7 linked regions of the Macaca mulatta genome follow. The protein of the gene in region 1 purifies or fractionates together with the protein of each later gene. This does not show direct contact. Links are inferred from orthologs where the notes say so. Each region holds a gene or a part of one and is shown in the gene's direction. Other genes may lie near its edges.

Region 1 (3,789 bases):
ATTTGTCTAAATATTGGAGTCATGGTTTGTGCTTTTAGCATAAATATTTAGTGCCAACTCAGTCTCTTTCCTATGTTCTGGGCCCTAGTTTATCTTTCTGAGAGATTGCTAATGTAAAATGTTTAAGTAAATAGTGAATGGTCCTGGAATAGGGCCTGATACTTGCATTACTGTTACTTTGTAGAATATTGTATTTTGATTGTGTTCTCTAGCCAAATTTGTCACATGAGATTCTTCCCAGTTCTTTGCTTTTAGTGGCTCTTATAAACACAGACTTTGACATATATTTAATATCTTGAAGAATAAAGATATCCTGTGATGTTACAGCCTGTCAGTACTATTTTGGGGTATAACAGGTGGGTAACCGAAGGGGAAAAGGCACGTGTGTGCTTGGGGTAGGGGGAAGATCCTTTTATGGAATTGAACATGCTAAAACATTGGTGAAGTTGTTCTTTCTGTGCACACTTAAGACAGCAGTTAGGATTAGATCTCTCATGAACTTCTAAGACCATCCAAATACTGGGAATAGGTCTGTCACTATTTCATTTTGCAAAAGTTGGCAACTTACTGTAATTCATAATAATAAGGTACCCTGGAAGTATACAACATGTTAAATATACAATATGTATATTTTTATTTTGCTCTCATGATTCCCCAGCTTAGTTTTTTAGTGACTGGGCACAATTATGTGTATGTATAGTGTGAGTGCATGTGTGTGCAGTTGAGTGAAGTGGGGAAAGTAGCGCTTCTATAGTTTGATGAGGGTTTTACACAAAAAAGCCACAGAGACTTTCCCTTAAATTTGGGAAAAGACAAAGATACCCCCATCATTGCCACTGTTTAATACAGTACTGAAGGACCTTTTCTTAAAAAAAAAAAAGTAATAGAAAAGTAATAGGATTGGGAAGGAGGAAATAAAAACTATGGATGATATGGATATGATCATTTACCTAGAAGAACCAACAGAATCAACAGACTGAACACTAAAATGAATACATGTAAATCAAGGTCGCCAGTGACAAGATAAACCTACAAAGACAACACTTCTCAAACCAGTAAAAATCAACTAGAAAATACAAATTCACAAGAGCAACAATATCTACAAAGACTACTATGAAGAATACATGAGAACTCTATAGAAGATCTGAATAAATGAAGAGACATATATCATGCCCTTAAACAGAATGACGTTATAAAGATGTCGAATTTCTCTCATTTTTTGAGAAACACAATAAACGTACCCTAGAATTTATATGGAGAAGTAAAAGTCCATAAATAGTTAAGTTATCTTTAAAGAAGATTGAGGGGCATGTTCTATCAAATATTAAAGTATAGTACAAGGCTAGTGCTATAAACAAACAAAACAAAACTGGGCACTAGTATAAGAACAGTTAAATACACTAATGCATGGGATAGAGATTTTAGAGAGAAACTTAATACGCATTCGCTAGGGGAAAGATGGATTGTTTGGTAAATAATGTTGGGGAAAATGGCTATTTGAAAAAAAACAACATTCTTAACTAACTACATACAAGGGTTGATTCTAGGTGGATTAAAGACATAAGGAAGGTAGAACTATAAAGTTAATAAGAGAAAATATAGGAAAATATGACCAAGGGGTAGGGGGAAGACCTTAGGTCAAAACTTCAAAAGCATAAGCTATAAGGCAAAAAAAAAAAAAAAAAAAAAGATGAATTGGATCACATCAAAATAAGAGTCTCTCTTTAGTGCCAGACATCCCAGACGTGGTTCATATAAGAGAGGATGAGAGATGGCTGCAATGTCTGTAACCAACAAGAATTTCTTGAGTATACAAATCAGCAAGGGGACAGTAACTCCTGTTTAAAAATAGAAAAACAAAATAGGAAAAGTCTATGAATAGGCTAACAAGGATACAAAGAGATGTCTGAAATTATTAGGAAAACGCAGGTTAACCTGACATACTTCTACTACACTGGCAGCAAATAGAAAGTTGGCAAATGCGGAGTGTTGGTAGGGATATGGGGACTCCTGTGCTTTGCTGTGGAGAATGGACAGGTACAGGTATTCTGCAGAATAATCATAGTACTAAGTCAAAAGCGGAGTACACATACCCTTTATCTCAGCAATTCTGTCCTGGTATATGTCCTAAGGAAATCCTCACCAAGATCCAAAGGGGAGATGTATTCATAGAAGTGTTATTTGTAGTAATAAGAAGTTGGTAGACAACCTGAGTGTCCATCTCTGGGAGAGTGGAGAAGGAAAAGCAGGTAGGTATACACATGGAGTATTATAAAATATGTAGCACCAACTGATTAAAAGTACACATAGGGGGCTGGGTGTGATGGCTCACACCTGTAATTCCAGCACTTTGGGAGGCTGCGGTGGGCAGATCACTTGAGGCCAGCAGTTTGAGACCAGCCTGGCCAACATGGCGAAACCCCGTCTCTACTAAAATTACAAAAATTAGCTGGGCCCGGAGGCTGAGGCATGAGAATCAGTTGAACGCAGGAGGTAGAAGTTGCAGTGAGATCGTGCCACTGTGCTCCAGCCTGGGGGACAAAGCAAGACTGTCTCCAAAAAAAAAAAAAAAAGTACACATAGGATCCTGGATGCTAAGTGAAAAAATAAAAACAGAATGAGATATAAATTCAAAATATACAAATAATACAGATCTTGTAAAAACAAATACTATTAATTAGATAAACACTAAATAGAATTGCCTCATGAGCTGGAAGGAAAATAGGAGAAAGGCAAGTGGATAAAAAATAGAAAAATGAAAGAATTTTAAAGCAGAAATGAAGAAGTTTTGAAAAGTTTGGTGATCTTTAAACTTGATTTGGGTTGAATGAGAGATAAAATTAATAGGAAGAACATCCTGCATACAATAACCGTTTTGTTTTCCCAATTTCTATAGGGTTGAAGCTTTGAGAGAAGCAGCAACTGCTGTTGAGCAAGAGAAAGAAATCCTTCTGGAAATGATCCACAGTATCCAAAATAGCCAGGACATGAGGCAGATCAGTGACGGTGAGAGCCATCTCCACAGAAGGGGCTCGTCTTTTACACTCCTTTAAAGAGTTTATGATAAGTGTGGGTCAATTTTTGCTTGACTTTCGGTATGCGTATACTAGGCCACAGCATTTAATGTGAGCCACAGAGAGCAGCTGCAGCTGTCAGTTTATTATAGCAGCCACTTACTCAGAGATTTCTTCCAGCATGCTCTCTACCCCAAGCCATGGCTGGGAGAGATAGGAAAAAGCCTGCAAGCTCAGAAGAGCTGGCCCCAAGCAGTAAGGCCATGTGTTTTATCCCAGGTTCACACTCCTAACTTCAGTTCTTCACAAGTTACTGGACTGCAAGAGATTAAAAAACACAGAGGAAAAAGGGTGAGAATGGAAGCAGAGAAGTAGAGACCAAAAAAAAAAAAAAAAAGATGAATTGAGGTACAACATAAAGAGAGGGACAAAATGCAGAGAAAATGAGGAAACTTGTAGGACCAGTAAAAGGCATGAATGTAAAAATGTGCTGTCATTTTCTTTTTTCTTTTTATGAGATGGAGTTTCACTCGTCACCCAGGCTGGAGTGCAGTGGCACGACCTTGGCTCACTGCAACCTCCGCCTCCCGGGTTCAAGTGATTCTCCTGCCTCAGTCTCCTGAGTAGCTGGGATTATAGGCGCCTGCCACCACACCTGGCTAATTTTTGTATTTTTAGTAAAGACAGGGTTTCACCATGTTGGCCAAGCTGGTCTCGAACTCCTGACCTCAGGTGATTTTGCCTGCCTCGGCCTCCCAAAGTGCTGGGATTACAG
Region 2 (3,789 bases), on another chromosome or scaffold:
GCTTATTATCCAATTAGGGTGAAAATTCCTTCCTACAGGCGACCGTGGCAAAATTGGGGCCTCTCCCTCGTGTTCTTGCTGATATTACCAAGTCATTGACTAATCCTACGCCAATACAACAGCAACTGAGACGCTTCACTGAACATAACTCCAGTCCAAATGTCAGTGGAAGCCTCTCCTCTGGGCTGCAGAAAATATTTGAAGACCCCACTGACAGGTATGAAAGAGAGGACGTGACCAATATCTCAGAGAAATATAATGTTCAGATTTAGCAGAAGTATATTCAACCTGTTTTTTGAATTTACAAGTTTAAAATTATGAGCAATTGAAGACTCATCTGACCTGAGAGCAGTTCAATTATTTGTCATTATAATGCACAAGATCTGGGATAACTTATTTTCTAGAATGGTAGTATAGAGAGTTATAATATATTCCCCAGCATATTTTTAAAATTTCTGTCTTGCTTAGTGGAAGACCAAAGGCTTTATGAAATTCATGTTTCTATACGTTATAGCATTCAAAAACCATGGAGAACCTCGGTGAAAACCATTTTATAGCTGGCTATGTCAGCTGGACAGGTAGATACAATGTTGATGCTTAGACTGTGTTATGGATTGGCAAGATTTGTGCCTTTAGCAGGGACCTTGCAGTTGTGTACTTAGAACTTCTCTTGAAGGTTTAGATAAGTAAGTATGAATTGGAATATTTCAGGAAGGTTTAAAACCTAACTAGGAAATTATTGGAATCCTGGTTAAAACTGAAGACAGTGATGGGTTGGTATCTACAGTGTTATTCTCTACTTTTGGGGAAAAAGTAAAAATGCTGGATTTTATTCTAACAATTGTAATAATTCCCTAATTATGTAAAATCTGAGTTTCCAAAGAAATGTATGTATCCACATAAGAACCTTCAGAGGAGTTCACATGCCTGAATTGAGGCATCTTAGCCATGTTGAAGTTGTCTCAAGAGAAATTAAGTGTCCTTTCCTTTTCTACAGTGATTTGCATAAACTAAAATCTCCAAGCCAGGACAACACAGACAGCTACTTCAGAGGGAAAACATTATTGCTGGTTCAGCAAGCCTCCTCTCAGAGCATGACTTATTCTGAAAAGGATGAAAGGGAAAGTAGCCTTCCTAATGGTCGGAGCGTCTCCCTCATGGACCTCCAGGACACTCATGCTGCTCAAGTGGAGCATGCATCTGTCATGCTTGATGTGCCTATACGCTTGACCGGAAGCCAGCTTTCCATAACCCAGGTGGCCAGCATCAAACAGCTGCGGGAAACCCAGAGCACTCCCCAAAGTGCACCCCAAGTGAGAAGGCCCCTGCACCCAGCCTTGAACCAGCCAGGTGGCCTTCAGCCCTTGTCATTCCAGAACCCTGTCTATCACCTCAATAACCCAATTCCAGCAATGCCAAAGGCCTCTATAGATTCCAGTTTGGAGAACCTAAGCACTGCCAGTTCCAGAAGCCAAAGTAACAGTGAAGACTTCAAGCTTAGTGGACCCAGCAATAGCAGCATGGAAGATTTCACTAAACGTAGCACTCAGAGTGAGGACTTCTCCAGGCGGCACACTGTGCCAGACAGACACATACCTCTTGCTTTGCCACGACAAAATAGTACTGGGCAGGCCCAGATCCGAAAAGTGGACCAGGGTGGGTTAGGTGCCCGAGCCAAAGCCCCACCATCCCTGCCACATAGTGCTTCCTTACGTAGCACCGGGAGCATGTCAGTGGCGTCCGCAGCCCTGGTGGCCGAACCTGTGCAGAATGGGAGCCGGTCCCGGCAGCAGTCCTCTTCCTCCAGAGAGAGCCCTGTTCCCAAAGTGAGAGCAATCCAGAGACAACAGACACAGCAGGTAGGCACGAGTGCTGAAGGGGCGTGGCTTCTACTTGGTCCATCTGTTTCTTTGGTTCTTTATACGTAAATCATTGGGAAATCCTATTGTTAACAATATTTCCACTTAAAAGCAACCTTTAAATGGAAAGAGGAAAGGAAAATTTGGGGAAGCTTCTGCCTAAGTGAGACTGCAGAATGAAGTTTGACTCATTACCCTTAAAAGTCTAACAAACACGCAGGGGCCCCCTTCTCTTCAAGCAGCAGAGCTACTACCTCAGTTTACACTTAGAACAAATCGGTGATGTTGAATGAATAATTAGATACTTAAAATCTGTAGGCAAAACCAACTATTATTTTGGGAATCTGAAAATTAATCCCTCTTAATTTTTTTTCTTAAGCTTCCAGAATAAAGGTTTGCATTCTGAGCCAAGAGTTTAATGTGACTGCTCTCCATTCCATCCCTCAACTCTCTCTGGAAATACAAAGTCCCATGTGCCTTTTCCTGGAAATGGCTAGAAAAATAAACACTTGAACACATAGAGAGTCAAGGTAAAGGAAAGATTAAAAAGATAGAAGCACAGGGCCGGGCGCGGTGGCTCAAGCCTGTAATCCCAGCACTTTGGGAGGCCGAGACGGGTGGATCACGAGGTCAGGAGATCGAGACCATCCTGGTGAACATGGTGAAACCCCGTCTCTACTAAAAAATACAAAAAACTAGCCGGGCGAGGTGGCGGCGCCTGTAGTCCCAGCTACTCGGGAGGCTGAGGCAGGAGAATGGCGTGAACCCGGAAGGCGGAGCTTGCAGTGAGCTGAGATCCGGCCACTGCAACTCCAGCCCGGGAGACAGAGCGAGACTCCGTCTCAAAAAAAAAAAAAAAAAAAAAAAAAAAGATAGAAGCACAGGTGGAAAAGGAAGTATTCTGAACATTTGCAGATCCCTTACATTTCTATTTACATGGACAAGCCCAGCTAACATCACATCCAATCATAATATAAGATTTTCTGATTTTTTTCTTGACAAATAAAAAGCTTTGCCCAGAAATTAATCATTTCTTCCTTACATATTACATTTTGAAGCATCAATACATATTTTTCCCTTTGAAACAAACTACTGTTAAATATATATATACACATTCATGTAATTTTTCATATATATAACATATATCTTTTTATATCTTTCATCTAAAAAGATTTTTCTCCTGAAAAAGCATTGTGTTAGTTGAATTTTTTTTGAAACCTAATGATAGTACTAGAAAGTTTGAGATTAAAAGAGTTCTATGACAAATCCTTTTATGCAGCAAAATAACTGGGGAGGGAGACTGCAATAAAATCCTAATTTGTATCTGTAATATATTTGCATTTTTACAGTTTAGGCACTTACTGATATGGCTGCGTCTGCCTCCAGTCTGCTATGATCAGAGCCCCTTACACCTACTTTGATTTTTTTAATTGGATTATTTATAGAATCCTTGGATACAGAAATAGAAGAAGGGATGAAAAGCATGACTAACAAACTGTTTCTGGAAGCAGACTTCCTGGGCTAAACCTCCTACTTGGTCATTTTTTACTGAGTAATAAAGTTTTTCTACAGTCTTAAATTTTTCATTTTTATTTTGTTATATTTCCCAAAGATTTGATTTAGTAAGCATTTGTATTTGAAGAAAAGGAAAAATACGTATCTTTTATATGTATCATATGTATTTTTTATACATAAATGTGTGTGTATATATAAACATAAAATGTATGTGTTAGGAGGCTATCAGTCATGCCCACCTTATTGTGAAGTAGTTTCCTCCCATCACTTTTGTGCTAGACTCTAGTTGAGATCAACTACTTTCAGAAAATTAAGGTGTTCATTGGGTGGAGAAAGGAAAAATACATAATTTTAGAAATCAGAATACTGTGTAGAAGCACATATCTACTCAGGGACTTAAAGCAGCACAAGGGCA
Region 3 (4,521 bases), on another chromosome or scaffold:
AACTAGTGGAAATGGCATGCATGGCCTGAGCACAAACAACTGGCTCCTGAAGAGCATTTAACTCAAGGGTGCAAGCAGCAGAACCTGGCGCCTAGAGCGGCCTGCGGGCCGTTCAGCCCATGGGAACCAGGATTAGTTGAGTTCGCTTCACAAAGCAATGGGGCAGTTTCAACAACCCAACGCGGCCGAGGGGGCTGTGAGAGGCTGGCTGTCCATTCCCTCCACCACCCAATTTGACGATCCCCACAACCAAGACGGGGCTGAGCTGGCAGAGGGCAACAGTGAGTTCTGATACAACAAACGCAGCAGACTCTGGGTTCTATTCAGGTTTTCTTATTCTCACGTCTATCCCATGAGCATAAAAACGTGATTAACTAGCGCATAAGTAGGTTAAGCATTTACTGGGGGCGCAAGCCGAGCCCTTTTACTGGCAGGACGCACAAATGGAACGGCCGGAGAGGCTGCTGCAAGGGGCGCTTATCCCCACTCCCTGCACCCCCGTTTCTTTGCTTCCCGGACGCCGTCCTTCACCCTGCAGTCTGCTCTGCCTAAGACCCCCCGATAGAGGAGCTGCGCCCACGCCCAAGGCCGATTCACTGGGCACGGGCGCCCAGGTGACAGCAGCCGGGCCCACCCGCCCCAGCGCGGCCACGTGCCCGCTGGGCCTTCTAGGGACGCGCCTCGCCGCCCCGCATTGCCGCAGTCACCTCTGGCTCGGGCTCAGGCTCCAGTTCGGGCTCCGACCGCCGCTTCTCCGGCCGCACGCTTGGCGCCGCCGTGCGCCCCGTGCCCCGCGAACCCGCCATGTCCCGCCGCGCGCCGGCCGCGACCCGAACAGCCGCTTCCGGCAGTGACACGGCCGCGTGCGCAGGAGGACGCGCCCCGCCCAGCCCGGCCCCGATTGGCGGGCGGGGGGGGGGCGGGACCAACACGCGCAGGCGCGCGGCGGGGCCGGGGGCCGGGGCGGGGTCGGGGCCTGCGTGCTCGCGCCGGGGGGGGACGCGAGAGGGCGGCAGCGGCGGCGGCAGCGGCGGGAGCGCGCCCGTTGCAAGATGGCGGCGGCCATGCTGGGCCTTGGGGCTGTGTGTGCGCAGCGGGCGGCGGCTCGGCCCGGACGGCTGGCGCGGCAACGGCGTTAGCCCGGCCCTCGGCCCCTCTTCGCGGCCGCTCCCTCCGCCTATTCCCGCCTTGCCCGAGATGGATCTGCCCGTGGGCCCCGGTGCGGCGGGGCCCAGCAACGTCCCGGCCTTCCTGACCAAGCTGTGGACCCTCGTGAGCGACCCGGACACCGACGCGCTCATCTGCTGGAGCCCGGTGAGGGCAGCGCGCGGGCGCGGGGCCCGTGGGGACCGGGAGGGAGCAGGGCCGCGGTGGACGGCGCGGGAGGGCTGCGGGGAGGGGCCCTGCCACACCTCGGCTTACGCGCGGGGAGCCTGCCCTGCCCCCGCCAGGAAGGGCGGCGGGTCCCGAGCCTGCCCAAACGCAGAGCCTTAAGTTGGGAAAGCGGCTGCGAGACCCACACCCGATTGAACCGCTGCCCCAGCGAAGTTTCCCTGGGATGGGAGAATGGGGCGTCCCTTGCATCGGGCTTCTGCTAACTGTTGGGCGGTTGCGGAAGTGTCCGCGCTTAGGGCAAGCACCCGGCTTCGCCAGCGGACGCTGTGCTCCAGAGGACATCGGCGTCCCCGGGGGACGGCCTACGGGGTGCTGGGTCGGCAACTATTCGGAGAAAGTCAGGACTTGGCACGTGAAGCGGAGGGCGTCGCTGTAGTGGAAAAGGAAAGGCAGTGGAAACAGAAAGTAAGACGTCATGAAGCTTCAGGTTAATCTCAAGCCCGTTTCCGAATCCCAAATCTGGGTTTCCCAGGAGGAGTTTTGTTTTTCATTCCTTGTGGGGCGTCTTTACTCGTGTCTTTATCTTCAGTTGCCTGGCAGCAGGCTTGTTTACACGGTCCGACCCTGCAAGACCGGACAGCTCCGGTTTGCAGAAGTAAATCAGTGATTGTCTGGAGTTGGAGATCAAAATCTGCTGTTCACATCCCGGCTGTGACGTCGTGTCCGGTGAGGGGCAGAGCCACAGCCTGTGGCTGGCAAGTGATGGCCTGAAGAAAGGCCACACTGGCCGAGCGGGGTGACTCTTTGCTGTGAAAGCAGCACTTTGGGAGGTGGCGGCGGGTAGATCACTTGAGGCCAGGAGTTCGAGACCAGCCAAGACAATATGGCAAAACCCCGACTCTACTAAAAATACAAAAAATTAGCCGGGCGTGGTGGTGCTTGCCTGTGGTCCTAGCTACTTGGGAGGCTGAGATAGGAGGATCCCCTGAACCTGGGAGGCAGAGGTTGCACTGAACCGAGATTCCACCACTGCACTCCAGCCTGGCAAAGAATGAGACCCTGTCTTAAGAAAAAAAAGAAAAAAGAAAGGCCACTGATCACTGGGAGCTTTTGGAGGGACCGTGACAGGCGGGATGCCACCAAGCATGTGTGGCCTCCCAGGAGCTAAGACCCCAGAGTTCCTCAGGCTCTGCTGAGGGCCTCCCATTTGCACAGCCTCTTTCTGCTGTTAGGAATGAAGAAAAGTCTGAACTGAAGCTGCTCCAGGCAGGAGGCCAGGCCTTCTGCTTCTCGGGTTTACTGAGGCCCTGCTTTACCTACAGAGTGTTTGGGAATAAAGAGAGGACTGGAAATCTTTGCTCTTTTCAGAAACACTTTGTATTTGTCCTGCTGACACCTCTGTCTGTGTCGGCCTTCCCATCCCCAAGTCCCATTACGGCGCAGTGCGCCTTCCTGCAGGCTGACTTCATTTCACCATCTCTTCATTCTAGACCTTGGCATTTTTGTGCAGAGGAAGTATTCCCATGTTTCTGTTTTCTTTTATCCGTCTTTCGTTTTCTTTCTTTCTTTTTTTTTTTTTTTTTTTTTTTTTGAGACGGCTTCTCGCTCTGTCACCCAGGTTGGAGTGCAGTGGTGCGATCTTGTCTCACTACGACCTCCACCTCCCAGGTTCAAGCAATTCTCCTGCCTCAGCCTCCCGAGTAGCCAGGACTACAGATGCACGCCACCACACCTGGCTGATTGTTGTATTTTTAGTAGAGACGGGGTTTCACCACATCAGCCAGCCTGGTCTGGAACTCCTGACCTCAAGTTATCCACCTGCCTTGGCCTCCCTAAGTGCTGGGATTACAGGTGTGAGCCACTGCACCCAGCCCTTCCTTCTTTTTCTTATTCCCCTTAACCCTCAGAAGTACTCTCTTGCCCCATTGGGGGAGGGGCATCTGAGATTATCTGGGATATTCTAAGCTTAATCCTACTAGCATGATCTGTCCTGTCCCATAATCTGCTTGCTGTTTCTGCTTAAAAGATTATGAGGCATGTGGGTTAGGTCCCAGTGTACTCTTTTTTGAGACCGAGGCATGTTCTGGGCAGGGCTTTTGAGCAAGGGAGGCAGATTTGATGAGGCCTGTGGCCAGCCTCCACTCTCCTCACAGGTGCACCACCTGTGGGCCTGTTCTCCCTGGGGAGGGATGGGGAGCCGTGTGGAATGTCAGTGTTTGGTTCCACCTGGTCAGTATAAAGTGGCAATGGTTGGTGCAGGATGTAGCAGTGGGGGCGAGCATGGCAATGAGATAGAAACACTGACTTCAAACTGGAAGGAAGCCCTTCTCCAGACTGTGCAGGGAGCTGCAGAGCTTTCTGGCGCTGGCTGCGTGGCCTGGAGAAAGGAGGTGATCGTCCCATCCTGTGGCTTTGAGAGCACTCACACAAGCCCTGAGGACTCCATGTCGGCAGAGTCCCAACAGGGGACCCTCCCACAAATCTACTGCCCAGGCCCAGCTGGCTCTCGGAGGCCTTGAGAAGGCCCTGGTGCTCTTGCTCTCTGCTGCCTTCTCTGGGACAGTCTCCTGGCTCAAAGTCTTACCACCATTCTGCCAAGAAAAACCCTCCCTGTTTGACACAAGAAGATGAGGCAGAATCACAGGCATGGTGACTAATTCTCCAGGCTGAATAACTTGGGGGAGACTGAGGCCCAGAAACTGGCCAGTGACTTTACTGAGCCTGGCCAGGAATGGGACCAGCTCTGGACAACCATTGCACTTCCCCTCCCTGGCCTGAGATCGGGACTCCCACTGCAGCCACTGGAGGCAGAATGCCGGGTCACTGTCCAGGAGAGCCCATTTGGTGGGGACTATGGCCCCATCCCTGTGGTGTTCGATTTCCCACCCCCCAGACCCTCATTCCCATGAGCACCCCACCCACACAGGCAGAGGCCTTGAGGGGACCCAGCAAGTCGTGGAGGACAGCACAGCCCCATCTGCCTTGGAGAGGAAACGTGTCAGCCACAAGGTTATGATCCCGGGAGATCCACATAGGAGCATGGGCATGGACGTGGGTGGTCCTCCCTCAGCCAGCTTTTTAACAGCTTATCCCAAAGGTGTGCCTGGATCCAGTACCACTGAGACCCAAAGACGGGGTTGGGGGACTGAATACCTGGACTGACAGGCAGCTCCATAGAACTGAGAC
Region 4 (4,335 bases), on another chromosome or scaffold:
AGTATAAGCTAATTTCCTCTTTCTACCTTACTTAGACCTGTTGGGCCTAACGGGTAGAGTGTGAATATGATTACTGATACTTATTGAGGGTTTATTATGTGCCAAGCAGGCATTTTACATAATCTTATTTAATTTTCACAAGCCGGTGAAGTGGTGTTACTACAGAGGAAAGCTCCAATTGAGGTAAGGCATGCCAGGACTGCAAAGTCCTTATATGTAACCAGCTTGGGATAAAACAGGCCAGTAAGTAGACCTTGAGAGCTTGTTTGGAGGACCTTGAGAGCTTGTTAACAGGGGCGTGCAGCTACTCCTATATCCTTGACCTGTCCTCCTCTATGGGGGATGCTCCTCCTTTTCGACCGAGTATGCAGCCTCGGGAGCGGTGCGGGAGGAAGGGCCACCCGCCTAGCCAGCCAGATCAGCGGAATCAGCCCTGGCAATCAATGGGGTGACAGATATCGCAGCCAGATCGCCCTCATATCCAAACAGGCCAGTAAATGGAAAATACTTTTAAAACACTATGCTACAATTATAAACCATCATCTTATTTATATGTAATTTTTGGAGTTGACAACAGGTCAGATCCTATTGAGAGGAGGTCTTTAATTTTCTAAGGCAGAAAACCTGGGTTTCTTCGGTCAACAAGCAACTCTAAGCTTCTTTTTTTATCCTTAAATATGGGAAATCCTGGACTCAAGGGGTTGATTATATGATATAACAGAAATGATTGTATAAACGGCGGACTTCGAGTAGGCGTTCAATAGATGCTAGTCTTTTCACTCAGAAGGGGCTTGGGAGGGCAAAAGTACAACCTCACCGAACAAGACGAAAAGTGGGCGGACCTTCCGCCTTGCCGAGGCTCTCGCTGCGAGCCGTTGGCGTTTTCCCGCGCAGGGGGCAGGGCGCAGAGCGAGCCCAGGAACGTGGGAGCAGAACCACACCCCCCGCCAGGACTACACCTCCCAGCAGGCACCACGCTCCGCCACCTGGCGGGCGGCGTCCAGTAGTATTACTTCTTCAAGCCAGCTTAGTCCGCTTTCCGCCCGGCCTTCCCTCGGCACTAAGGTCTCTAGGGGGTGCGTCTGGGAGCCCGCGGGAGAAAGGCTGAGGTAGGGGTCGCCTTGGCTGTGCAGCATGTTGGGACTCGTGGTCCCCTCGTGCAACGTTTGGGAGGCCAGGCTTGCCCTGAGTGGCTGAACCACATCACGTGATGAGAGAGGCGGCCACAGGGGAGCAACCTGTGGTGCCTTGTGAGGTCATCATGGCGCGACGACGAGCTGCAGTTGTAGGCACCCTGGATGCGGTGGGTAATCCTCTCCTGATGACTCCGAGTACAATACATATTATCAAGTCTCCCTTATTTTTTTTTTTTCTGTGGTTTCCCCCACCACCTCCACGCGGTCGGCCTCGCGGGGTTGGGGTGAAGGTGGCAGCTAGAAGAGGCTGCGCGCCGTCTGGGCGGGCTCTGAAGCCGCGCACGAGCGACGTGTTGTGGCTCCTCCTTCGCTCGTGACGCGAGGTCACGTGACGGGTTGGGCAGCCTGTGCCGCCGCCGCCGCTTTGTAAGAGGCACATTGGCAGGTAACGAGCGGCGGCGGCGGCAGCGGGTCTTGAGTCCTCCGAGAGCAGCAGCGGTAATTGCCATCCTGTCCCTTTCCTTCCCTGTTCCAGGGGCCTGAGCGCTGCAGCGTGCGCTTTCTAGTTCTGGGTTCAGCTCGTCTGAACCCCCACCGCCTGCAGACTGCCCCGGCGCCCATCCGTGAGGACCGGGCCAAGCTTCACTCGCCAGCTCCACGGTCCCTGTGTGTCCAGGCCCGGGCGCCCTACTGCCTCTTCCCCTCACTTTGCCTTGTGCTTCTTCCTACTTTCCCCCGTCCGGGTCGGCCGGGCCCCACCCAACCCCAGGGGCGCCTCCCCTCCCCCCTTCGGGTTTCTGCCCTGGAGGGTGTGGTTTTCTCTCCCACCTCGGTGCCTGCCAGTAGATGGGAGCTTCCCCGCCACGCTGTCGGTCCCATCTGATCACCTTTCCGCTTTCACGCCCGTAGCTAGTCTTGGGACTGGCCCTTTTAGAACCCCAACTTCTGCGCTCTCTAATCTTTCCTGGCTTACCCGGAGGCACAGTTCAATTCTACTTCTCCTTTTCAATTGGTCTCAATTGGGACTCAGTTTTCCTCCTCACCCCCGGTTCCTGTAGTCTGGTTATATCACAGTTCATTCTTTAGTGTAGGTTTTTGAGCGCTTTGTAAACCGCAAAGCTCAGTCTGTTAATAATACATATTCAAAATGTTATTCTTTCATTGGTGCATTACAACTCAGTTCTGTTTCCCTCTGAATCACTTTCCCACTCGGCTTTTCCACATTTTCCCCGAGTTTTTAGTCTAATTAGTTGCCCACGCTTCTCAACTGTCACCACTCTGGTCTCTAACCCTTGCTCGCTTTAAGGGTTGATCCCATCATTATTACTGTTATTTCCTGTTTGATGTAATCCAGTCATTTACTACCACTTCTGTTGAATATTGTTTTTATCTCACATTCAAGGAAGGTATATGGTTTGCCAGTATTTAGGCTTATAATCTTTCTACAGCACCAGCGTATCCTAACAGTTGAGAGATTTTAAAAAATTGCTATTCATTTTAGAGATATGGTCTCCATCTATTGCCCAGGCTGGCCTCCCGCTCCTGGGCTTCAGCGATTCTTGCACCTCAGCCTCCTGAGTAGCTGGGGTTACAGGTGTGCCCCACGGTGCCCAGCTAGTTGAGGGTTTTTTCACGTCTCCATAAGGTATCCAAAGATCATCTTTTATTTGAAGGGCATATAATTAATTTCTTGGGTGAAAACCCATTCTTATATTCCTCTCCTGTTATGACAGCACTTTTTTCACCAAGGGGTATGCGGCTAGTTATTGCATTCCTCACTTTTCGCTGTGAATTGTGTATCCTTTTTAGTGTCAGTTTGGGAAGGGTGGAAGGAAGATGAACATGATACCTGAACTGTCCCGTATGCGACATTGGTGTGTTCCCCTTTTACCTCAGGAAAGGGAATGTATTCCACTCCCTGGAGATGATAGTTTCTTTCAGTACACTCACCTGTGGAGCCCCTTCGCTGGGGCCGACCTTTTACTGCTTTGAAGGCTTCTCTTATCATTAGGCAGAAGTGATTAGTTTCCCAAACTGCCCTTTTGCTGGCTGCCAGTGTACTCCTGATTTTCCTACTTATGGCTAGTTGACATATGTGGCGAGAGATTTTCCCACAGCGCCGACTTCCCCCATTTGCTTCCCTGTTGCCGCTCACCCTCAATAATTATGAAACCTTTCAGAGAAGGAAGGTTTTTTGTTGTGATTGAAATATGCCCAAAAGCGGTGGCATGGGAGAGAATGAGGCCATGGGAAAGGGTTGTGGTAATTACCCCTCCTGTTTCCTGCTGCTCTGGTTTCCTCTGTCCTCCCTTTAAATGTGGGCTGGACCAGCAGTAGTCACATGGAGTTGCCTCTAGAACTATATTGGAACAACAATAACACCTCTGCTTCCCTTTCCTGGTTACTAGTGCAGTCTATGTAGTGATCACCAGGAGTGTCTCTCTTAGTATTAGACTGAGTGACTTTTATTGTATGGGGAGAAATGGTGTGAGAACATGGAGAATAATAGGTTTATTTCAATATGTACTTGTATCGTGATGGGAATTGGTCCCTGTATCTACCCTCTTAAGTGTAAAATATATGTAGAAAGTGTAAAGCTCTCTTGAAGGTTTGGAGTGGTCTGAAGTGAAGCCTTTACGTCTAAAATGTTAGCTTTGAATTAATTGTTGATTTCCCAGTCCTTTTTTTTTTTTTTTAAATGATGTCTTACTGTTAAGATTTCCTTTGTTAATAAGACACTTTGTGGGGGTGGGGGTGGTTAAGTATATTATGAAGGGTTAATGCCTGCTGGGAAGAAGCAGTCTGCAGGCATTTACAGATTGTAAAGTTCTCTGCCCTTAAGCAAACCTGTCTTATTTTGTTTATTTTTCCTTGCGAGAAACCTGTATGTCAGCAAATATCTGTTCTTTCTTAGTTATCATTTTGAGCAAATAGAGCGTCCTTAAAAGCTAAGTGTTATGGTACCCATGGTGTTGACTGGTAAATTAGTAGATCTCTGATAGATTTTAGAAGCAGCTATTTTTTACAAAAAGGAGAGTGGAGATACAACCTGAAGGAAGGCAAAGAGAGTGAGGACATGTAGGGAATATCACCATGTAATCTTTGTGGTAGATTTTGATGTAATTTTGCCCAAACTATCAAGTATTTAGGAATATGATCCTTTTTTTCCTAACTCAATCAAATGTATCACATTAGTTTT
Region 5 (3,789 bases), on another chromosome or scaffold:
AGACACACAACCTGAGTGCAAGCATGGTGGTGCTGGCCCAACTCCTGATGTTTGACTTTGCCCTCATTTATCACCTCAATTTAGTAGAATGGGGTGATTCGACATAGAAGGAATTCTTTACGAAAATGTAAAATGTAGTTGATGTGTTGGTTTTAAGTCTTGGCACATCGCCGGGGGTAGAGCTGCGGGATAGAGGGAAGACCTGAAGTAGTGTATGTGTGTTGAGCAAATTATGTGTGATGCAGGACCATCTACTCCTTGCTTTTTTTTTTTTTTTTTTTTTTTTTTTGAGACGGAGTCTCGCTCTGCCGCCCAGGCTGGAGTGCAGTGGCCGGATCTCAGCTCACTGCAAGCTCCGCCTCCCGGGTTCACACCATTCTCCTGCCTCAGCCTCCCAAGTAGTTGGGACTACAGGCGCCCGCCACCGCGCCCGGCTAGTTTTTTGTATTTTTTAGTAGAGACGGGGTTTCACCGTGTTAGCCAGGATGGTCTCGATCTCCTGACCTCGTGATCCGCCCGTCTCGGCCTCCCAAAGTGCTGGGATTACAGGCTTGAGCCACCGCGCCCGGCCGTACTCCTTGCTTTTTTATGGCAAACCCAGTAGGAAATAAAGCAGATTTTATTCTTCCTTTTTTAATTGACACCACATAGTGCTGTGATGGTTTTTATCAGCAAGTCTGACATTTATAAAATTGGTATGTAATTCTCAGCATTTAGCTAAAATAGTCATGTTAACAATATTGAATTAATAAGTATTGTAAGAAATAAGTTCTGAACAGAAAGAATTATAAGAAACAATTATTAGAAATTGCCAAAATCTATTGTAAACTAAAATAGTGTAATTTGCTTTTGTTTATGAAGGTTAAATATGAGTGCCTGGCAGAGGAAATTAAAATAGGAGACTATTACCTGAGATTACTATTGGAGGAAGATGAGAATGAAGAAAGTGGATCAATTAAGAGATCGTGAGCTACTCTGTATATCCTGTTGCATTTGTACTCACTGTTGGTTTCATGGTTATTTCTATTGTGAACTTTTTTTTTTTAAATCTAGGTATGAATTTTTCAATGAGCTTTATCATCGCTTCTTGCTCACCCCAAAAGTAAACATGAAGTGTTTATGTTTACAAGCCCTTGCTATTGTTTATGGCAGATGTCACGAAGAAATAGGACCTTTTACAGATACCAGATATATCATTGGAATGTTAGAGAGGGTAAGGATATCATTTAAGGAAATTACTATTTGATAGTGTCACTAGGGTATGTGTTAAATTTTAAAACTAAATTTAAATTCTGTTTGATCACATTATTACTGTAACTTTCTGCATTCATTTTTCTGTAATTTATACTTACTTAAATCTGAGTTAGATGAATAGGAAAATGAATAGTGGGTTAGAATTTGTCCATGTCACTTTATGTGTTTCAGTTAGTATTTTCAAATGACTTTAGTTGACCTACTTGTCAGTCTTTAAGTATGGATGAGTTGGACAGGTGTATAAAAGAAATGGTGACTTCTAGAGTTGTATGTACCTTTGATTTTCCATTTTGGAAAAATCTTAATTGATGCTAGCATACTAAATTTAGAAGTGTGAAGATAGCAAAAACCTTTTAAAACTACAATGCTAAGCCTCCAAAAAAGAAACCTTGAGTTAGCACTTTACAAAGAATTTTATACAGTTTGTCAAATAAAAAAATTAGTGGACATGGTGGCATGTATCTGGTGGTTCACCGGGAAGTGGGAGGATCACTGGAACCCGGGAGGTTGAGGCTGCAGTGAGCTGTGATCACACTCCATCCTGGATGACAGAGCAGGACCTTGTCTCAAAAAAAATTTTTTTTTAAGAATTTGTGATTTAACACTTGAACATGGTGAAGGGGACAAATTAATTAATCATGCAGCTTATTTGATTGCTACCTGTTTGTTGCAGTGTATGTTTTATACTTTCTTTTGTGTTTACATTCCTTTTACTTAAAGTATCATTTGGACCAATTTTTTCACTTACTTCAATTTTTACATATGTCCTTAAAGCTATATATTAATCTGTTTGATGACTTTACAATGTCTGCCTTTCTAGGGAAATTAGACAAGTTATATAAAGTTGTAAAGAATGTAATTTTCAGGATTCATTAAGGAATTGCAATAATTGACAGATTTCTATGATTTTTCTCTTTAATGTTTAAAAGATGGCATTACTTATGGGCTGTTGATTTTGTCTAGTAATAGTAATAGCTTAATTTTTATTTCTATTCAGTTCTGACCAGATTCTCATTTATTTCAATAGTGCACAGATAAACTTGAACGAGATAGGTTGATTCTCTTCCTTAACAAGTTGATCCTTAATAAGGTACAGTAGTTTCGCATACATACATTGTTATTTCCAAGTCATATAAGTAATGTAAGATAAACTCACAGTTTGAGTTGATTATCCAGGGAGTGTTCTTTTCTGTCTTCTCCTTTTTAGGCAGAAAGTTCTGTGTGCTCTAACCTCCTGGAGGGAAAGGTTTTTGTCAGTATTCCCTGTATAGTCTGTCTTAATATTATAGGTGCAGAATGAATGAATGATAATAAAATTCTGAATGAGGAACAATGGATGACTTTTAATACATTAAAATGATCTTTAATAATAGAAATTATTAGCTTATTTTTCTTTAGGGACTTTCTAGGGTTAAATTTTAAGTAAAATATATGCTTGACATAAAATGGAAAGTCTTTATCAGTATACATTTTGCAGATAAAAAGTAATTGGAAGTTACAAGATTAGTCATTTTACTGTTTTCTTTTTGAAGACATTTTAATAGGTTCATGCTTATTTCGAACAAGAGGAATTCATAGTTGTAATATATAAAATTAATTCACAGTTTATGTTGAAGCATAAGCAGATTTTCATTTCTTAAAACTTTGATACTAATACCAATTTGTGTAGTTTTATTCTTGTAGTAAGTAATGCAAATGTTTTAAACTGAAGTGTAATTATACGTACAAAGATTTTAATTGAAATTATAGTCTCTTCTAAGAAGTTACCAGTTATTTTAAGTTTAAGAAAACAAACTGGAACATTAAAGGATTTTTAATATAGCAGACTTTATTTCTGATATAGAATAATCTGTTTATTAAAAAGACCTTGGCAGAATAATTGTAAAACCAGAGTTTATCATGACAGTCTTCAATTTGTTTACTCTTATTTTTGTGGGTTGTTTTTTCTTCAGAACATATTTAAGTAAAAATTCTTAAGTGATCTCTTTGTAATATAATTTTGCCCTTTTAATCAATTGGAATTCAGGTTCCTTGAACACAAAATGCTGAAAAGACCAAGTAATACCAGTTGTATCAATTATTTCCAAAGATTCCAAACATTCTCCTCTTCGAGGACCTTGTAGGTGGTAGTACCTATTGGGAAAGGTACTGTTGGGAAAGGTTTTAGATTGTGAGAAATGTTTAGATTACAAAAAAAATGTTTTCTTCTTCCAGAAAAATGTTAAGGATCTCATGGATTCAAATGGAATAAGAATCCTTGTGGACTTGCTTACCCTTGCACATCTCCATGTAAGCCGAGCTACAGTACCACTGCAAGTACGTATCCTTGTTTAGGTTTTACAAACTTAACATTCTTTGAGTATAATTTTGGAGTCAAAAGAATCATAGAAATCTGAAAATATATGATCAATCACATATTTCTCCAGTAATTACAGAGGACTAGTTCTCGGAGATTTCACACAGAAAATGTGAAACCACTGTAAGAACAATCCAAAATGGACAGTAACGGTTGAGTTTTATTTTTTCAGTTAAAGT
Region 6 (4,425 bases), on another chromosome or scaffold:
ATTAGTACCCTGTTCTTCCCACACTTAACCAGCTCATTCCAGTCTCAAGGGAGAGTTGTGGGCCTGTGTTCCCAACAAAAGCAGCCCCAGAGGCCGCCCTTAAAGAGCTGAAGTGTAAAAGTCCCAATTGAAGAGCGACTAAGCCTACGTGTATTAGGGAGACTAACGACCAGCCCAAAGTGATTTACCATAACACACACCAGCTCCTCCTCCCGATAAAAGTGCGAAACTCAAGCATTCAATTCAGTCTGGGCTGAGTCTGAGGCTGCCAACGGTGGCAGAGCTGAAGGCCGCGCGGCTGGGCTGGGCTTACCCCAGCCTGGGTGGCATATAGGGCGCAAGTCTGCCCCCATCGGCGGCCCGCCCTGCGCGACGGCGAGCCAGCCAGCCGGTCGCCCCCACGGCCAGCGGGGACCCCGCGGAGGCGAGCAGGACTTCCCCCCACGACTCGCGCCCGCGCCTCCCGCCACCTCGAGTCCAAGTTCGGGCCCGGGGCGGCGCCTGGACGCCCAGACTCGCCGAAGGGGGTGGGGCCTGCGCTGTGACGCGGTCGCGCTGGCCGTACACCCCGGATCCCTGGAATGTGCATTCGTTCCACGAGGCCCTAGTGCCAGCGGCGCCGAGGCACGTCTGCGCGGAGCGTGCGCACACGCGGCGGCGGCCGCCCACGGTCCCGAGTCCACGTCACGCGCCCGCCGCGCAGACCTACATAAGGCGGCCGGGGCAACTGGCGCGGCGAGGCCCTAGCTGAACAGGGCGGGCTGGACGGGGCTAAGAGCAGCACTTGGTGTTCGCGAGCTGCTAATCCGAACCGCGCTCCCTCCCCTCCAGAGGGCTCCGTGGAAAACGCGCGAGCCAGCTGGCGGCGTGTGCACGTGGTGCTGGGCTTGGGAACATCCAGATTCTCCCTAGTTAGTAAAAGGGGCAGGCGGCGGGTATGTCCTTCCCAAGACAAATGCAAATGCAAAGCACCAGTGACGGATTTCATGCTCTTGTGTCCGACATTGAGCTTTCAAGTATAACTCCTAAAAAACCAGAACTGTGAACCACGCTAGACCTAAAATCCCCATTCTCAGGAGACTGACGGAAACCAAGTGACAAAGTGGCCTTGCATAAAAGAAAAAGAAATGGCTTTTAGCACGATTTGGTCCAGAGGCACACCAGGGGAAAACATCCTGAGGGTGGTCGAGACAGCCGGGTGGGGCGTGAAGTGAGGGAAAGTGGAGGAAAAGCACACGACCACTTTGCGCCGTGTTCCGAGGGGACACCAGCGCTGCGCTGCCGCGCTGCCCCGCGAGCGGGCGGGCGCCACAGAGCCGGCTCTCCCGACAGCGCTCCTTCGGCGCGCAGGGGGGAGGGGAGCGCGCGCGCGGGAGGGCGGGCACGCGCCCGAGGGGAGGGGGCCCGCGCAGGCGCTGTGCGAGACTGTCGAAGAATCAAGTCTGTAGAAGTGGAGCGGCCGCGGCGGCAGCAGCAGCAGCGACGGTGGCGGCGGCAGAGCTGAGGCGGGCTGGCCGCTGACGCTGGCGCTGGAGAGCGGCGACGCCAGGAGCTGTGAGAGAGCGGCGGAGCGACCCGGGGCCTGCGCCGCACCCGAGCTCCACGCCGCCCAGCCGCCGCCGCCCCGGCGCGGCATGCCCCGCCGCTCGGGCTGAGCCTGCCCCGGCGGCCGCCCCCCGCCCCCTGCCCCCCCGGCCTCCCCGCCCCCCGCCCCGCACACTGTGCCGGCCGCCGCCGCGACCTGCTGCGCTCCCCCGCGCCCGCGCGGCCCGTCTTCGCCCCGGTCTGGAGGCCCGCCGCGGCTCCAGCCGAGCCCCCGCCGCCGCGCCCGCCGCACCGCCGCACCGCGCCGCCCGCCCGCGCCCGCGCCGGCCGGGGGGAACTGCTGCCGCGGCTGCAGCCCCTCGCCTCGCGCCCGCCGCCCCTCGTGCACCGGGGGCGCTGCGCGGGCGCCGAGCCTTCGCGGGCTTTGCCGCCGCCGCCGCCGCCTTTGCGGCCGCCGCCGCCGCTGGTGGGGGAGACGCGGGGTTGGGGGGGGAGGAGGGCGCGCGTGGTGCCGGTGGGGGGCGGCGGCGGCGCCCCCTCCTCCTCCTCCTCCGGCGCCGCGGGCTCCTCGGACATGGCCGCGGCGGTGGCGGTGGCGGCCGCGTCCCGGCGGCAGTCGTGCTACCTGTGTGATCTGCCCCGCATGCCCTGGGCCATGATCTGGGACTTCACCGAACCTGTGTGCCGCGGCTGCGTCAACTACGAGGGCGCCGACCGCGTCGAGTTCGTCATCGAGACAGCGCGGCAGCTCAAGCGGGCGCACGGCTGCTTCCCGGAGGGTCGCTCCCCGCCCGGCGCCGCGGCCCCGGCCGCCGCCAAGCCGCCGCCGCTCTCGGCCAAGGACATCCTCTTGCAGCAGCAGCAGCAGCTCGGCCACGGCGGCCCCGAGGCGGCCCCGCGCGCGCCGCAGGCCCTGGAGCGCTACCCCCTGGCGGCCGCGGCCGAGCGGCCCCCGCGCCTCGGCTCTGACTTCGGCGGCAGTCGTCCGGCCGCGAGCCTGGCCCAGCCGCCGACGCCGCAGCCGCCGCCCGTGAACGGCATCTTGGTGCCCAACGGCTTCTCCAAGCTAGAGGAGCCTCCCGAGTTGAATCGCCAGAGCCCGAACCCGCGGCGCGGCCACGCGGTGCCGCCCACCCTGGTGCCGCTCATGAACGGCTCGGCCACGCCGCTGCCCACCGCGCTCGGCCTCGGCGGCCGCGCTGCCGCCTCCTTAGCCGCGGTGTCCGGAACCGCGGCCGCCAGCCTGGGCTCCGCGCAGCCCACCGACCTGGGCGCCCACAAGCGGCCGGCATCCGTGTCGAGCAGCGCGGCCGTGGAGCACGAGCAGCGCGAGGCAGCAGCCAAGGAGAAGCAACCGCCGCCGCCTGCGCACCGGGGCCCGGCGGACAGCCTGTCCACCGCGGCCGGGGCCGCCGAGCTGAGCGCGGAAGGTGCGGGCAAGAGCCGCGGGTCTGGAGAGCAGGACTGGGTCAACAGGCCCAAGACCGTGCGCGACACGCTGCTGGCGCTGCACCAGCACGGCCACTCGGGGCCCTTCGAGAGCAAGTTTAAGAAGGAGCCGGCCCTGACTGCAGGCAGGTTGTTGGGTTTCGAGGCCAACGGGGCCAACGGGTCTAAAGCAGGTAGGGGCGGCTGTGAAGTGAGGGGTTCTAGGGGAGAAAAGGGGACGGAGAGCAGAGGAGGGGTGGTTCTTTCGATTCACCATTTTACCCCAGCTCAGAAACAACAAATACCCCACTTCCTGATCTGCCTGAGGCGGAACCAGTGCTTAGTGGCAACGTGTTCATGTGCTGAAGCAGCATAACAGAGATGAGTCAGACTGGGCTGATACGCTCTGACACGGGGTTTTCCTTTCCCAGCACATTCTTGGATGGGAGCATGAGGGCACTAGTCACCTTTTAACCTATTGCGGGACATTAGCAGTCACATGCCCAGTGCAAACTAGGGTACTTTTGTGCATGTGTAAAAACAGGCAGTTACAAGCCTGCCATTTTCAGTGGCTCCGTTTTATTTTCAGTCTACTGCCTCAGAACCCCACACGCCTAAATGTTTCAAGTTGCGTGTATGTGCACCTGAAACTCGTAGGAGGGTTTTCCGTCTGTGCTTTTAGAGAGGAGGAATTCTGTAACGAGTTTTGTTTCGGGTTAGGAAGGGAAGGATCCCTTCCAGTGCACCGCCATTTATGTTTCCTTTTTCCTTTTATTTCTTTGTGTTTCCAGTTGCAAGAACAGCAAGGAAAAGGAAGCCCTCTCCAGAACCAGAAGGTGAAGTCGGGCCCCCTAAGATCAATGGAGAGGCCCAGCCGTGGCTGTCCACATCCACAGAAGGGCTCAAGATCCCCATGACTCCTACATCCTCTTTTGTGTCTCCGCCACCACCCACTGCCTCACCTCATTCCAACCGGACCACACCGCCTGAAGCGGCCCAGAATGGCCAGTCCCCCATGGCAGCCCTGATCTTAGTAGCAGACAATGCAGGGGGCAGTCATGCCTCAAAAGATGCCAACCAGGTTCACTCCACTACCAGGAGGAATAGCAACAGTCCGCCCTCTCCGTCCTCTATGAACCAAAGAAGGCTGGGCCCCAGAGAGGTGGGGGGCCAGGGAGCAGGCAACACAGGAGGACTGGAGCCAGTGCACCCTGCCAGCCTCCCGGACTCCTCTCTGGCAGCCAGTGCCCCGCTGTGCTGCACCCTCTGCCACGAGCGGCTGGAGGACACCCATTTTGTGCAGTGCCCGTCCGTCCCTTCGCACAAGTTCTGCTTCCCTTGCTCCAGACAAAGCATCAAACAGCAGGGAGCTAGTGGAGAGGTCTATTGTCCCAGTGGGGAAAAATGCCCTCTTGTGGGCTCCAATGTCCCCTGGGCCTTTATGCAAGGGGA
Region 7 (4,281 bases), on another chromosome or scaffold:
AACAGCTGACCTTGTCCCAGTTTATGAGGAACTTAAAATTATTGAACGGTCTAACCTTATAGAATGGCTAAGAATACCATGCAATATGTAATGTGGCCACAGGGAGGAAAATGGCCTGGCCTTGTTTACAAGAAACCATGGACAAAAAAAAAAAAAGGAGCATTTAAGGCCGGGCACAGTAGCTCGCACCTGTAATCCCAGCACTTTTGGAGGCCGAGGTGGGTGGATCACCTGAGGTCAGGAGTTCGAGACCAGCCTTATCAACCAATGAAATCCTGTCTCTACTAAAAATACAAAATTAGTTGGGTGTGGTGGCACACGCCTGTAATCCCAGTTACTTGGGAGGCTGAGGCAGGAGAATCGCTTGAACCCAGGAGGTGGAGGTTGCAGTGAGCCAAGATTGTGCCACTGCACTCCAGCCTGGGCTACAAGGCGAAACTCCGTCTCAAAAAAAAAAAAGGGGGGGAGCATTTACATTTAAACCAAATGTATTTGTCCAACAAGGGAATGGGATGGGGTGTGGGGAGGGGGAGAGTTTATCATGATAGCGAGTATTCAGGAGAGGCTACATTTTCACTTGGCGGAAGGCGCTAGAAGGGGTCACGTGGACAGATGCCTCCTATCAGTCCTTCTAAGTGTGAACTTCCATGTAAGGTTCCCTTAATCACCTCTGAGCACTTACTTTGTGTCAAGTTCTCGGTAAGGCTCTGAGGACCCAGAAACACATGAGACAAGGTCATGGTTACTCAACTGAAACGCAGAAGCAGGATGGAGAAAGGCTGAGCTCTGGAAACAGGAGGCTGGAGTTTAATTCCTAGCTCTGTTATTTCGTAGCTGTGCGTCACTGGAGCTGCCACTTGGCCTCTGGTTCTGTTTCCTCATTTATGAACTAGGAACAACAGTTATCTTCATAGATTAAAGAACCCAGTGACGAAATATACCTGGAGCACAGTGGCTGGTATGTAGTAAGCACGTTATTTTATTAGTAGTAATATTTTTATGACGACCTTGGATAAGTCACTTCATTTTTCAAAGCCTCAGCTTTCTCATCCGTAGGATGGAGTTAACACTGACATCACGGGGTTGGAATCTTGCTGTGTCGTGGGGTCGGGAGCTGCCATTTCGTCTCTCCGCTTCCTTCTGGGATAAGTGGGTCGCACCATGCCCACTCGATCGCGGACGGAAACCAGCCCCGTTCGGCGCGCAGAGGAGGAACCTGATTAATAAGGACGCGATTTCCTGGCTGCGCTCCTGGGGAAGGAGGTTTGCTCTGGGTCCCATCCCCCGGCCGGTCCTGCTCAGGAAACGCGGAGAGAAAGCCAGGAACCAGGCCTGCCAGGCCCTGCGGCCCCTCAGCGCCGTCCCTCCTCCCCGGCCCTCGGCTGCAGGAAGCCGGCTGGCGGGAACGCCCTGCCTGGTGGGTGGGAAAGGCGAGAGCGCGCCCGGCACCGGCGGCTTCCCAGACCCGCGGCCGGCCGGCTGCGCGGAGCTGTCACTGCGGCAAACGGCGAACGCGCCGGCCCCCTCCCCCGCCTCCCGCACGCCTGGTGCAGTCGGCCCATTTGTATTTCACGAAGTGCTGCAGCCGGATTCATGGCTCACTGGCGCAGGAGGGGAGAGGCTGAGTCCTGTCAAGCGTCAGCGCCCCACCGGGTACGGAGCGCACGCCGTGGGGGCCGGGGTGGGGAGGGAAGGGCGTCCAGCCCTCTCTTTTGGGTGGTGAGATGCTGAGGCCTGAGGGTTTCTAGGTGAGTGTTCAAGGTCATGGCTGGTAAACGGCAGGGCCGGGATGCGACTCGGGGTCTGTTTCACCCTAAAGTTTGTGCCTCGCGTCTGTGGTTCTGCTCCAGGTTTTTGAGGTGTTTGGAGGGCGGGGGTTACATTCTTGCAGCACCTCAAGAACCGGAGTTCTGTACCCAGGGGCTACCGATGGCCTCTCAGAGGTCTGTGAACTCCTTGTGTAACATGTTGTGTGTGTTGCATTTTTCTTCGAAGTTCCAAAGGTGTCAGTGATCCAACAAGGGTCAAGAATTATAGCTCTCCGCAGGGTATGGTGACTCACGCCTGTAATCCCACCGCTTTGGGAGCTCGAGGTGGGAGGATCTCTTGATTCCAGGAGTTCGAGACCAGCCTGGGAAACATAGTGAGACCCCTCATCCTTACAGAAAATTTAAAAATTAGCTGGACATGGTGGCACATGCTTCTGGTCCCAGCTACTTTGGAGGCTGAGACAGGAGGATTGCTTGAGCCCAGGAGTTTGAGGCTGTGGTGAGGGGTGATTGTGTCATTGCATTGCAGCCTGGGCGACAGAGGTCAGACATTGTCTCAAAAATCGAAAAATCCCCAAAATTATAGCTCTCCAAGCCCGCTATGAGGACTCCAGCTTCATGAGAGGTTGAGGTTCCTCTATGTCTATAACCTCTTGAGAATATTTCTGCAAAGCCCCAGCTGTTACTCTGTAGCAACTTGGGGGCCTCTACAGGATCCCAGATCTTTCTACTGGATCTTGAGACTCTTTCTATAGGATCTTGAGATCTCTCTGGGGATTTGAGCTCTTTATGGGGTCCTGGTGTCTCTTTCTGCGGTTCTGACAATTTTACTATAAGGTCTGGTGGTCCTCCATGGAATGAGTTCTAAACCTGGGCCTCAGGACAGCTATGAACTCCCTGAAATTGTATGCAAGATTTTGTGGGTCTGTCTGTATAGGTGGAATTCTGGAGAGAGGTTTCACGGATTTCACCAGATTCTCAAAAGAATCTGTGATCCCCAAAAGCTGGGAAAAAATACTGCTTTAGTGCATTCATTTGAACAGGCCTTACTCCTTTCTCAAAAATAAAAGTCAAGGAAGTAGGGGGCCGGGCCGTGGTGGCTCACGCCTGTAATTCCAGCACTTTTGGGGAGGCTGAGATGGGCAGATCGTTTGAGGTCAGGAGTTTGAGACCAGCCTGGCCAACATGGTGAAACCCCATCTCCACTAAAAATATAAAAATTAACTGGGTGGAGTGGCACACGCCTATAATCCCGGCTGCTCGGGAGGCTGAGGTACGAAAATCACTGGAACCCAGGAGGTGGAGGTTGCAGTGAGCCGAGATCACACCACTGCACTCCAGCCTGGGCGATAGAGCAAGACTGCATCTAAAAAAAAAAAAAGTCAAGGAAGTAAAAAGTGGAGGAAATAAAAGACAGTGTTTTCTAGTAGAGTGTGGGCTTTGGACTCAGGCATTCCTGGGTTAAAATCCCAATTTCCCACTTACCAGCTGTGTGACCTTGAGCATGTTCCTTACCCTCTCTGAGCCTCCAGGCCACCTCCTCTAGGAAGCCTTCTCTGGCTCCTCAATTGAGTTAGGTCCCCACCCGCATCCCCCAATCCCTTCTGGCATCTCACCTGATTCTTTGGAGCACTTAATGGAATTGTTATTAAGTAACTGTATTTAATGTTATCCTGTTTCTCCACTCCTCCAGTCCAGGAAACTTGGGACTTTTGCTGTATTACAGTCTGTGTAGTGCCTGGCACCTGTTAGGCACTCCGCCATTTCTTATGAAATAAATAAAAGTGCAAAGGAATGGAGGGATGCAGGCCGGACACTGTACTAGGGGCAGAAAGGGATCAGAAATTAATAAGCATCATTCCTGCTGTTGAGGAAGTCCCAGGCTGGAGGGGGAAATAAGATGCAAACGAGGAAAACCGTCCTAAATGCGCTAATGGGGGATGAACACTAATCGAGGCAAACACTAGCAGGGAAAGCACCAAAAGATCCAAAGATGAGTGAGACCTAGTCCCTGAAGAGCTGAGATGCCTTTCCTTTGTATTATGTGTTACGATTTACAAAGCACTTAGCTTACATGCAATAGCTGGGTATACACTTATTCTGCAGAGGTGGCAAAACTACTGCAGAGAAGAGTTCAATGACTTGCCCAAAGCCACCCAACCAATAATGGCTGCCTGAGTGCATAGCTTATTTGCTTTGGAATATAGCCCATTTCCTCCTGGACTTGGGCTTTGATGTTGCACATGTCTTGGTTTAGATCCTACTAGATGTGTGACCAGTAAGTGACTTTACCTGTCTGAGCCTTGTTCCCAGTCTGCAAGATAGCAGCAATAATGACCCCCTATAACCTTTAAGAGATAGTATATGCAATATACTAGGAATAATGACCCCTATAACCTTTAAGAGGTAGTATATGTAAACTACCCAGCATGACTCTTGGTTCAGAATACAGGATCTATAAATGTTTGTGGAATGAATGAATGAATGAATGAATGAGTGAGTGAGTGAATGA

The links.
Region 2: the proteins of BAG2 (region 1) and RASAL2 purify together in Homo sapiens (affinity purification with mass spectrometry; 3 studies listed by BioGRID and IntAct, with this or other methods). This does not show direct contact. The link is inferred for Macaca mulatta from reciprocal best matches to the Homo sapiens genes BAG2 and RASAL2.
Region 3: the proteins of BAG2 (region 1) and HSF1 purify together in Homo sapiens (affinity purification with mass spectrometry; 3 studies listed by BioGRID and IntAct, with this or other methods). This does not show direct contact. The link is inferred for Macaca mulatta from reciprocal best matches to the Homo sapiens genes BAG2 and HSF1.
Region 4: the proteins of BAG2 (region 1) and UBAP2 purify together in Homo sapiens (affinity purification with mass spectrometry; 3 studies listed by BioGRID and IntAct, with this or other methods). This does not show direct contact. The link is inferred for Macaca mulatta from reciprocal best matches to the Homo sapiens genes BAG2 and UBAP2.
Region 5: the proteins of BAG2 (region 1) and DNAJC13 purify together in Homo sapiens (affinity purification with mass spectrometry; 3 studies listed by BioGRID and IntAct, with this or other methods). This does not show direct contact. The link is inferred for Macaca mulatta from reciprocal best matches to the Homo sapiens genes BAG2 and DNAJC13.
Region 6: the proteins of BAG2 (region 1) and IRF2BP2 purify together in Homo sapiens (affinity purification with mass spectrometry; 3 studies listed by BioGRID and IntAct, with this or other methods). This does not show direct contact. The link is inferred for Macaca mulatta from reciprocal best matches to the Homo sapiens genes BAG2 and IRF2BP2.
Region 7: the proteins of BAG2 (region 1) and LUZP1 purify together in Homo sapiens (affinity purification with mass spectrometry; 3 studies listed by BioGRID and IntAct, with this or other methods). This does not show direct contact. The link is inferred for Macaca mulatta from reciprocal best matches to the Homo sapiens genes BAG2 and LUZP1.

What each region holds. Positions count from the first base shown.
Region 1 is NC_133409.1:125,109,556-125,113,344, reverse strand, and holds part of BAG2 (BAG family molecular chaperone regulator 2), read left to right. Parts: intron 1-2,896; coding exon 2,897-3,006; intron 3,007-3,789. UniProt on the Homo sapiens protein: Co-chaperone for HSP70 and HSC70 chaperone proteins. Acts as a nucleotide-exchange factor (NEF) promoting the release of ADP from the HSP70 and HSC70 proteins thereby triggering client/substrate protein release.
Region 2 is NC_133406.1:35,888,758-35,892,546, forward strand, and holds part of RASAL2 (ras GTPase-activating protein nGAP), read left to right. Parts: intron 1-17; coding exon 18-217; intron 218-997; coding exon 998-1,859; intron 1,860-3,789. UniProt on the Homo sapiens protein: Inhibitory regulator of the Ras-cyclic AMP pathway.
Region 3 is NC_133413.1:154,683,997-154,688,517, forward strand, and holds the start of HSF1 (heat shock factor protein 1), read left to right. Parts: upstream 1-1,551; 5' UTR 1,552-1,566; coding exon 1,567-1,800; intron 1,801-2,898; exon of another isoform or gene 2,899-4,521. Other genes in the region: ribosome biogenesis protein BOP1, read right to left, coding at 708-806. UniProt on the Homo sapiens protein: Functions as a stress-inducible and DNA-binding transcription factor that plays a central role in the transcriptional activation of the heat shock response (HSR), leading to the expression of a large class of molecular chaperones, heat shock proteins (HSPs), that protect cells from cellular insult damage.
Region 4 is NC_133420.1:65,638,890-65,643,224, forward strand, and holds the start of UBAP2 (ubiquitin-associated protein 2), read left to right. Parts: upstream 1-1,505; 5' UTR 1,506-1,634; exon of another isoform or gene 1,635-4,018; intron 4,019-4,335. UniProt on the Homo sapiens protein: Recruits the ubiquitination machinery to RNA polymerase II for polyubiquitination, removal and degradation, when the transcription-coupled nucleotide excision repair (TC-NER) machinery fails to resolve DNA damage. May promote the degradation of ANXA2.
Region 5 is NC_133407.1:35,572,823-35,576,611, forward strand, and holds part of DNAJC13 (dnaJ homolog subfamily C member 13), read left to right. Parts: intron 1-861; coding exon 862-965; intron 966-1,053; coding exon 1,054-1,213; intron 1,214-2,281; coding exon 2,282-2,344; intron 2,345-3,468; coding exon 3,469-3,570; intron 3,571-3,789.
Region 6 is NC_133406.1:14,468,834-14,473,258, forward strand, and holds the start of IRF2BP2 (interferon regulatory factor 2-binding protein 2), read left to right. Parts: upstream 1-1,427; 5' UTR 1,428-2,119; coding exon 2,120-3,167; intron 3,168-3,764; coding exon 3,765-4,425. UniProt on the Homo sapiens protein: Acts as a transcriptional corepressor in a IRF2-dependent manner; this repression is not mediated by histone deacetylase activities. Represses the NFAT1-dependent transactivation of NFAT-responsive promoters.
Region 7 is NC_133406.1:217,839,370-217,843,650, forward strand, and holds the start of LUZP1 (leucine zipper protein 1), read left to right. Parts: upstream 1-1,194; 5' UTR 1,195-1,653; intron 1,654-4,281.